2 linked regions of the Saccharomyces cerevisiae S288C genome follow. Changing the gene in region 1 together with any one later gene gives a genetic interaction. Each region holds a gene or a part of one and is shown on either strand. Other genes may lie near its edges.

Evidence for each region. A genetic interaction does not mean that the proteins touch.
Region 2: mutations in KAR3 (region 1) and CHL4 together harm fitness more than expected from each alone (negative genetic interaction), as found in Saccharomyces cerevisiae (6 studies listed by BioGRID, with this or other methods).

Annotation. Positions count from the first base shown.
Region 1 is NC_001148.4:816,143-819,900, forward strand, and holds the start of KAR3 (Kar3p), read right to left. Parts: upstream 1,782-3,758; coding exon 1-1,781. Other genes in the region: rRNA-processing protein RRP15, read left to right, coding at 2,181-2,933; ribosome biosynthesis protein NOC4, read right to left, coding at 3,623-3,758. UniProt on the Saccharomyces cerevisiae protein: Minus end-directed microtubule (MT) motor involved in spindle midzone assembly, poleward transport of newly captured kinetochores along the lateral side of MTs, karyogamy (nuclear fusion) during mating, and with an essential function in meiosis I.
Region 2 is NC_001136.10:963,060-966,817, reverse strand, and holds CHL4 (Chl4p), read right to left. Parts: upstream 1,706-3,758; coding exon 329-1,705; downstream 1-328. Other genes in the region: ubiquitin-protein ligase RMD5, read left to right, coding at 1-261; MET32 (Met32p), read left to right, coding at 2,253-2,828; CCR4-NOT core subunit BTT1, read right to left, coding at 2,957-3,406; PAM1 (Pam1p), read right to left, coding at 3,712-3,758. UniProt on the Saccharomyces cerevisiae protein: Component of the kinetochore, a multiprotein complex that assembles on centromeric DNA and attaches chromosomes to spindle microtubules, mediating chromosome segregation and sister chromatid segregation during meiosis and mitosis.

The DNA.
Region 1 (3,758 bases):
TCATTTGATGCTGTGCTAGCGGTGGATCTTAATTTATTTGCTTTTTTCAGGATTATTTCCACCATTTCTTCCGACTCAAGCTTGCAACTCGTAACATTCGTTATCGTGGTAGTCTTAGTTTCCTGATCATGACGTATTTCGTGCTTTAAGCCAATGCTTGTGTCTTCTTTATTATTATTATCACTTCTCAATAAGTCTACGATGTTCTCGTTGTAGATCTCAATGAATTCGCAGTTAACTTTATAATCCCATCCTTTTGTCTTTAATTTATTGATCCAGTTAAATATATGAGATATTGTGGACGGAATGATACCATCACCTGGATTTAACATCGTGAAAGTTTTCCCAGATCCTGTTTGTCCGTATGCGAAGATACAAACATTATATCCATCTAATGAACTTTGCACTAACTGACCAACTTCTTTAAAAACATCCACATTTGTATCCTGTTGATCAAATATTTTATCAAATTTGAATTCATGCACTTGCGCTGTGTTTTGTATTTTCGTCACTTCCATAGATTGAACACCACTATTGTCATCAAATTCATTAACATTAATAAGGCTAGTATCAGAATTTTCCAAATTTTTTAGAGCTGGACGAATCCTACAATAAACTCGTATATTTCCTCTTAACTCTTGTAACTCATTATGCAATGTGCGTCTAACCGTTTCCTCTTTAATCAGAATTTCATTCAACTCCTTCATACCCAGTTCAGTGTCTTTTATATATTCCTCAAGTTCTTTGATCTTTTCCAAAGTTTCTAAATTAGTTTTCTGTTTTAATGCCACCTCATCTCTCAGCCTTGTAGTTTCCTCTTCCTTTTCTTTAACTTTTACTTTGATAGCTTCATACGCGTTACGCTTTTCTGTTAAGAGCTTCTTTTTTTCTGCCAACTCAGGTTTTAATGTATTTTCGATTTCCTTTTTTATGCTTTCGATTTCTTGCATATGTTTATTATTCAGCTCTATATCCTTTTTCCACTGCGATTGGTACTCTGTAAGCCATTCTTCTTTTTCAAGCATATGCTTTTGTTCAACATCGTTCAACATTTCCTGTAAAGTGGAAGGGTTCATGGTGATTTTATTTCTTACCTCTTCTATTTTATCTAAAAGCGACGCTCTTTCATTTTCAAACTGTTTAATCTTCATAAATTTCAATTTCTCAATTTTTGTTTTGTATTCATTTTCCATTTGTTTCAGCTCTTTTTTATTAGATGCCGCTAGCTGCTTTAAATGTATTTCATGTCCTTCATTCATGAACTGCTTCTTTGACAAAAATTCTTCTTTAATCGAGATAAGTTCATTGTTTTTCAAATTCAGTTGCTGTTCAATTTTTATCTTTTCTTCACGAAGGGTTTCAAATTTGAGATTAACGGCATTGATTTTCTCTTTCGTTTCTGTTAGTTCATCTTTGAGTAAATCTAGTGTTGCCTTTTTCTCAAATAAGATTGCTTGTGTTCTATTGAGTTCATTAACATTTTCTTTATAAAAGGAAGTTACACCGGAGTTGCTTTTCTGGTTTCCATAAATCAAATTTGCTGTACCTTTATAATTCTTTAAAAGCTCGCGATTAGGTGACATGGATATGCGACTCTGACTAGCTAATGAGTGTCTATGAATATCCGTACGTTGCGGCTTCAGAAGAGTGTGCTTAGGCGGTGGAGTTGTTGTATTTCTTCTTTTGTGGCCATTCATAGCTAAAATATCATTCTTCGGCGATGGTGTCGAGAGATGCTGCGTAGATCTGCCTTTTGTGGGAGTACGTGGAAGTGATTCCATAGTTTAATAGTTGCCAGAATTTCTCTAAGTCCTTTATTTCAAAATCTACCTTTTTTAAACAAAGACTCCGGATAGTTGTTCTGGTATATTCAAATAGAATAATAAGAAACACAAAGAGCGGAAAAATTGATAGCTTTAATGCTTATATAATATTCGATAATTTTTTTAGCTGTAATACTCATCATCATATTTTGATTCGAGGCGCATCAAATTGTAAACAGTGTTTGTTTTGATTTTGTTTGAGATTCATTTTGGTGTATCTCCATTACCCTCTTATTGGAAAATTTTGAAAGAAAAAAATCTAGGATTCGATGCCCATAAGATATAAGGAAAGGTAATAAACAGATGCTATGAATAAAGCGATAGAGAAGCCGAAGGAAAATCAGTACATAATTGATCATGGGCTCCAAGCACAGAGTAGACACTAAGGATAAGAAAAGAACCAGAAAGAATGCAGAATTTGGGCGTGAAAAAAGGAATAGTGGCAACCAAGAGTTAAGTAATGAGCCGGAAAAAGATACAATAATGGAAGGTGATGAAGCCGAAGAAGACGAGCAGAATAGCTCTAGCGATGAATCATCTAAAATTATAGATAACGAACAAAGTGATGCTGAAGAAGATGATGATGAAGAAGAAGAGGACGACGACTTCCCAAGAAAGAAAAAATCGAAAAACAGCAAACATGATGATGGTTCTACTGGATTTTCTGCTGCAGTAAATGCTATTTTATCATCACATCTGAAAGCATACGACAGGAAGGACCCCATCATGGCTAGAAACAAAAAGGTGCTGAAGCAAAGTGAGTCAGAAAAGCTAGAATACAAGGCCAAAAAAGCATTGTTGGCAGAAAAAAAAAAGTTATTAGGTAAAGCCAGAAAGACGGATATTATTCCAATTGCTTCCGGAGAAGACAGGTCAGAAAATATTAGAAAAGTCCTTGAGAAGGAGACAGCGCTCAGAAAGATAGCTCAAAAAGGTGCCGTGAAATTATTTAACGCCATTTTAGCAACTCAAGTCAAGACAGAAAAGGAAGTATCCGAAAATTTAAGCGAAATTAAGAATAAAGAAGAAAAGAAAGAATTGATCACTGAAGTTTCCAAAGAAAAATTTTTGGATTTAGTTAAAGCTGCCGCAGGAAGCGACAATGAATAATCAACATGTTCATGTCAAAAGAAGAAAAAAAATAAAGAAATAAAAACTGTATATTATTTAGTCTATGTCAAGCGAGAAAGGGGCCCTATATCTTCCCTCCTCCTTGCAATTGAATTTTGTTTGCATTCTATATTATCATATAGTTTCATATCAATTGCAAAAACTTTTGCAGCCAATGTTACAAAATTGTTTTCAATCAAAGAAATACAGGTGTGGTGTCCTTCACCATCGATATATTAATATTAATATATCATGAATAAATATAAAAATTCAAGGTAATGTACTTGTGCACTTCTTTTAGAATATAGCAATTTCCCTTAGCTCTTTTTCAAATTGTAATTCTCTACAATACATAAAAAGAAATTGATCTTTGGTTCAACTTTATATATCGCAATAAGCAATTCTCAACATTATGAAAGTTTATCTAAATTAAACAATCTTCAACAATAGAATGGTCTCTTGGCCCAGTTGGTTAAGGCACCGTGCTAATAACGCGGGGATCAGCGGTTCGATCCCGCTAGAGACCATTTATTTTTGACCCAGGTTTTTTTCCTAGGCAAAATTGATAACAGGGACTTACTATTTTCTATTTTTTTTTTTTTTTACATCTCAAACAAGGGAAATCGATGACTCTGTTGATATAAATGTATATATACACACTTTTAAAACTTCGTTGTTCATCTTCGCTTTCACCATGCTACCCCAGGCAAGTAGACGTTACCTTGGGATGACGCTTCGCTATCGCCGTCTTCATTATCAAAAACGTTTGTGAAAGCCTCAAATTCTAACGTAGGAAGTGTCTTCAACTTTCTTGAAGATTCTGCA
Region 2 (3,758 bases), on another chromosome or scaffold:
TGGACTACGAAAGATGAGTTGCCATTTGATGTCAAGTTACCAGATTTTCTGACTCATTTCCATCCGATCTTCATCTGTCCCGTCTTAAAGGAGGAAACCACTACAGAAAATCCTCCTTATTCACTGGCATGCCATCACATCATTTCTAAAAAGGCGCTAGACAGATTATCGAAGAACGGAACAATTACTTTCAAGTGCCCATACTGCCCCGTAAATACTTCAATGAGCAGTACAAAAAAGGTTCGTTTTGTTATGCTTTGACTGAAATTTTTGCATAGGTTTTTTTTTTTTTTTTTTATTGGAAGCGATAACAGAACACAGTAGTTTTCTACAGTAAACCACCTTTAGCAACCTGCTCTCGCTGAAAATCTCCATTCATTATCGTTCCTGAGAACGATCCATTTTCTCCAGCCAACCACCCAGGAACTTTATCAATATTTATTAAATTTTTATCGCATAGTTCGTGTAATCCCCCAAAAATATCATTACCATTAAATTTCAATTTTATGGTAATTATTCTACTGTTTATTTCGTTTTTTAAAGTGAATCCAACTTTTTCAATAGGAACTAAGGAACTGTATCTAGAAATGTACACTGGCTCACCAGAATCTTCATTTTTCTTTCCATTCCTAATATTGTGGACATGTTCGTTAAATTCTTTCAAATCATTATATTTCTGATCCATTACGCCGTTTGCTGAACCTTTGAATTTGATCATGTTTTTCTCTAACCTTAGTCGTCTAATTTCAGGTTCTTCTTTTCCGTAAAAATTCTCATCGTCATTTAAGAAAGAATCATCAAATTCTCTAACCATTACCTTTTTACCAGTAAGGCCTTGGTGCTTTTTGTAGTCGTGTAGTGGTGACCGTTCAAAGTTAGCACTAGCATAACATTCCCATGGGCCCATAGACTCCGCAAATCTCGAAGGTCCTAATAAAGTCATTATATTATGTATTGATTTCACGGGTATTTTCTGTACCGGTTTGAAGATGATTGTTTCTCTTTCTGATATCGTTCGACTAATGCTCTGCAAAACTAGTCTAGCATAAATATCCTTGTCAACTGAATGGAAAATTATTGGAGAATTTAGCGGGAATGCAACGTAATATGGTCTCCTTGATATTAATGGTTTCCCTTGGAATTTGTCTAACTTGTTGTAAAGAGACTCTTTATTTATACTCCCTATATTAGGCGTACTCAAAAATAAATTATTGCTGTCAAATAGCTGTATTCTGGTAATTAACACTGGCAAAGAGGGATGTTTAAACATGTAAACATGACAATGGTAAATTTTCGCTAGATCTGTTTGTAAATTTTCTATAAATTTGGCAGGTTGGAGCTTTACTACGTAAGGTTTCCCATCTCCCCGTAAAGCTTTTGATGGAAGCCACTTAAATTTCTCTGGTTTACTTATCATTAAATGGCAATCTATTTCTGCTAATTGGAAAACATTCAGGCCATCCGGCCAGTATACGTATAATATCCTATTTACTATAACATTTCGCCTCACGCCTTTCTCAATCAGTAAGTCTAATGTTTCTGTCAATAAATATATGTCACCATCAAATGACCCACCGAATTTTGCGAACCATGATAGCGTAAGATCATATAATACCGTTACCGGCAGCTTCATCAATTGTTTGAAAACTACTAGTGTGTCGGAAGTTGGTACATAGTTATCTTCAAGCCGTAATTCGTTAGACATTAATTGCTACTCAAATATACTAGTCAAAGATAGTATCCACCAAAATCTTTCCCCGCTAAAATAACGCCAGATGCTTTCTATGCTTCTAATCTTTTACCATTTACCTTTGTTTATTTCAATATAAACTTTAATTTACAGTCCCTATCTATTGCCCGACTGGACTAACATGCACGTGACATTTTGTGATGGTTTTTCGTCCCTTACTTAGTACGCTTAGTACGCCACAGTTTATATTTTCTTGACAATAATAAAGAACCTGATTGTGGGTTAGAACTTGCTATACTTTTAGTTTAAAATAAGCAGGAAATAATCTTGAGTTCTGTATCATTATTATAAATAAAACTATATTTGTTCTCTTTGTCGCCCTCGGAACTTTCCTCATTACATTGACGAGGTATATATAGATATAGTAGATATACATATCTATCCATGGTATATATGTATGCATCTGGATAATTGAATAGGGTTTCATGTCATATGCCAAGAATTTGTTAATAATATAGTGGAAAAAAGTCAAGAGGTATTATAAATTTCAAAAAAGTACCAAATGGAGGATCAGGATGCTGCATTTATCAAACAGGCTACAGAAGCAATAGTGGATGTATCATTAAATATAGATAACATAGATCCTATAATAAAAGAGTTATTAGAAAGGGTAAGGAATAGGCAAAACAGGTTACAAAATAAAAAACCAGCACTCATACCGGCAGAAAATGGTGTTGATATAAATAGTCAAGGCGGTAACATAAAGGTTAAAAAGGAAAACGCATTACCAAAACCACCGAAGTCCAGCAAAAGCAAACCCCAAGATCGTAGAAATAGTACTGGTGAAAAAAGATTTAAATGTGCGAAATGTTCGTTGGAATTTTCAAGATCATCAGATTTGAGAAGGCACGAAAAGACACACTTCGCCATATTGCCTAACATTTGTCCTCAATGTGGCAAAGGTTTTGCAAGGAAAGATGCATTGAAAAGACATTATGATACACTGACATGTAGGAGAAACAGGACTAAATTACTAACTGCGGGTGGTGAGGGTATCAATGAATTACTGAAAAAAGTCAAGCAATCCAACATCGTTCATCGTCAAGATAACAACCACAATGGTAGCAGTAATGGCTGAAAGAGTAAATAGCGTGTATCTTCTCAAATAAGAAAATATATATTCATCTGCAACATTAATGTGATAGCATTTCCACTTCGACATTCGCCACTAGCTATAACGTTTACTGGCAATTATTATGAACTATGTCAGCTATTCATCACTTGTTGTTTTGTCTCGCTGCATCTGTCGCCCAGCTGGTCGAGCACCGTCTGTTCATTTTCTAGGTTATGAGCCAAACCTGTCAAATACTCAAGTTCTTGGCTACCTAATTGAGAGGCTACGCTCGGATACAGCCCATTAAGTGTATTCTCTTTCGGTTGGCCATGAATCATTGTGAGATTGCATTGAGGGGCAATCTGTACAACTGCACTGTTAAAATGTAAAACCTTGCCATTCTTTTTGAAAAAATTTGCTTCGGCAACGTTTTCAATGGTCATTGGATGCAGTTTATGAAGTTCAGCTTGTAACTTGGTATTATCCTTGTCATTGTTATTATATAAATTACCTTTCTTGTTTATTTTCCTTCTGGTACCACCAACTTTGTTTGCTGCTGATAACTTGTGCAGCTTAGCTAATTTTTCTTGATCTACAGGCATTTGATGTTGTAGGATTATGTAGTAGTTTATTTAATTTAGCCGTATTTATTTCTATCAGGGAACCTTTTTAACGCAACTTAATTGTTTCTGTCACAGCGGGAAAAAAAGAAAAAAACAAAACAAAGCATTTAAAAGCATATGCCGTTTATTACATGATCTAAAGTTGTGTTGAAGCTACAAACTTCCTCGTTGGTCATTAACCAAATAGAAAGTGTTTTAGATAAAATGTATAAGTAGATAAAATATAACATATCATTAACAAAAACGGATTATTTGGATTGGAAAGACAAGGGCTCGCGTATTTGTTACTTTTTCCTTTTTCCAAAGAAACTGAACTTTTTCTTCTTTTTTT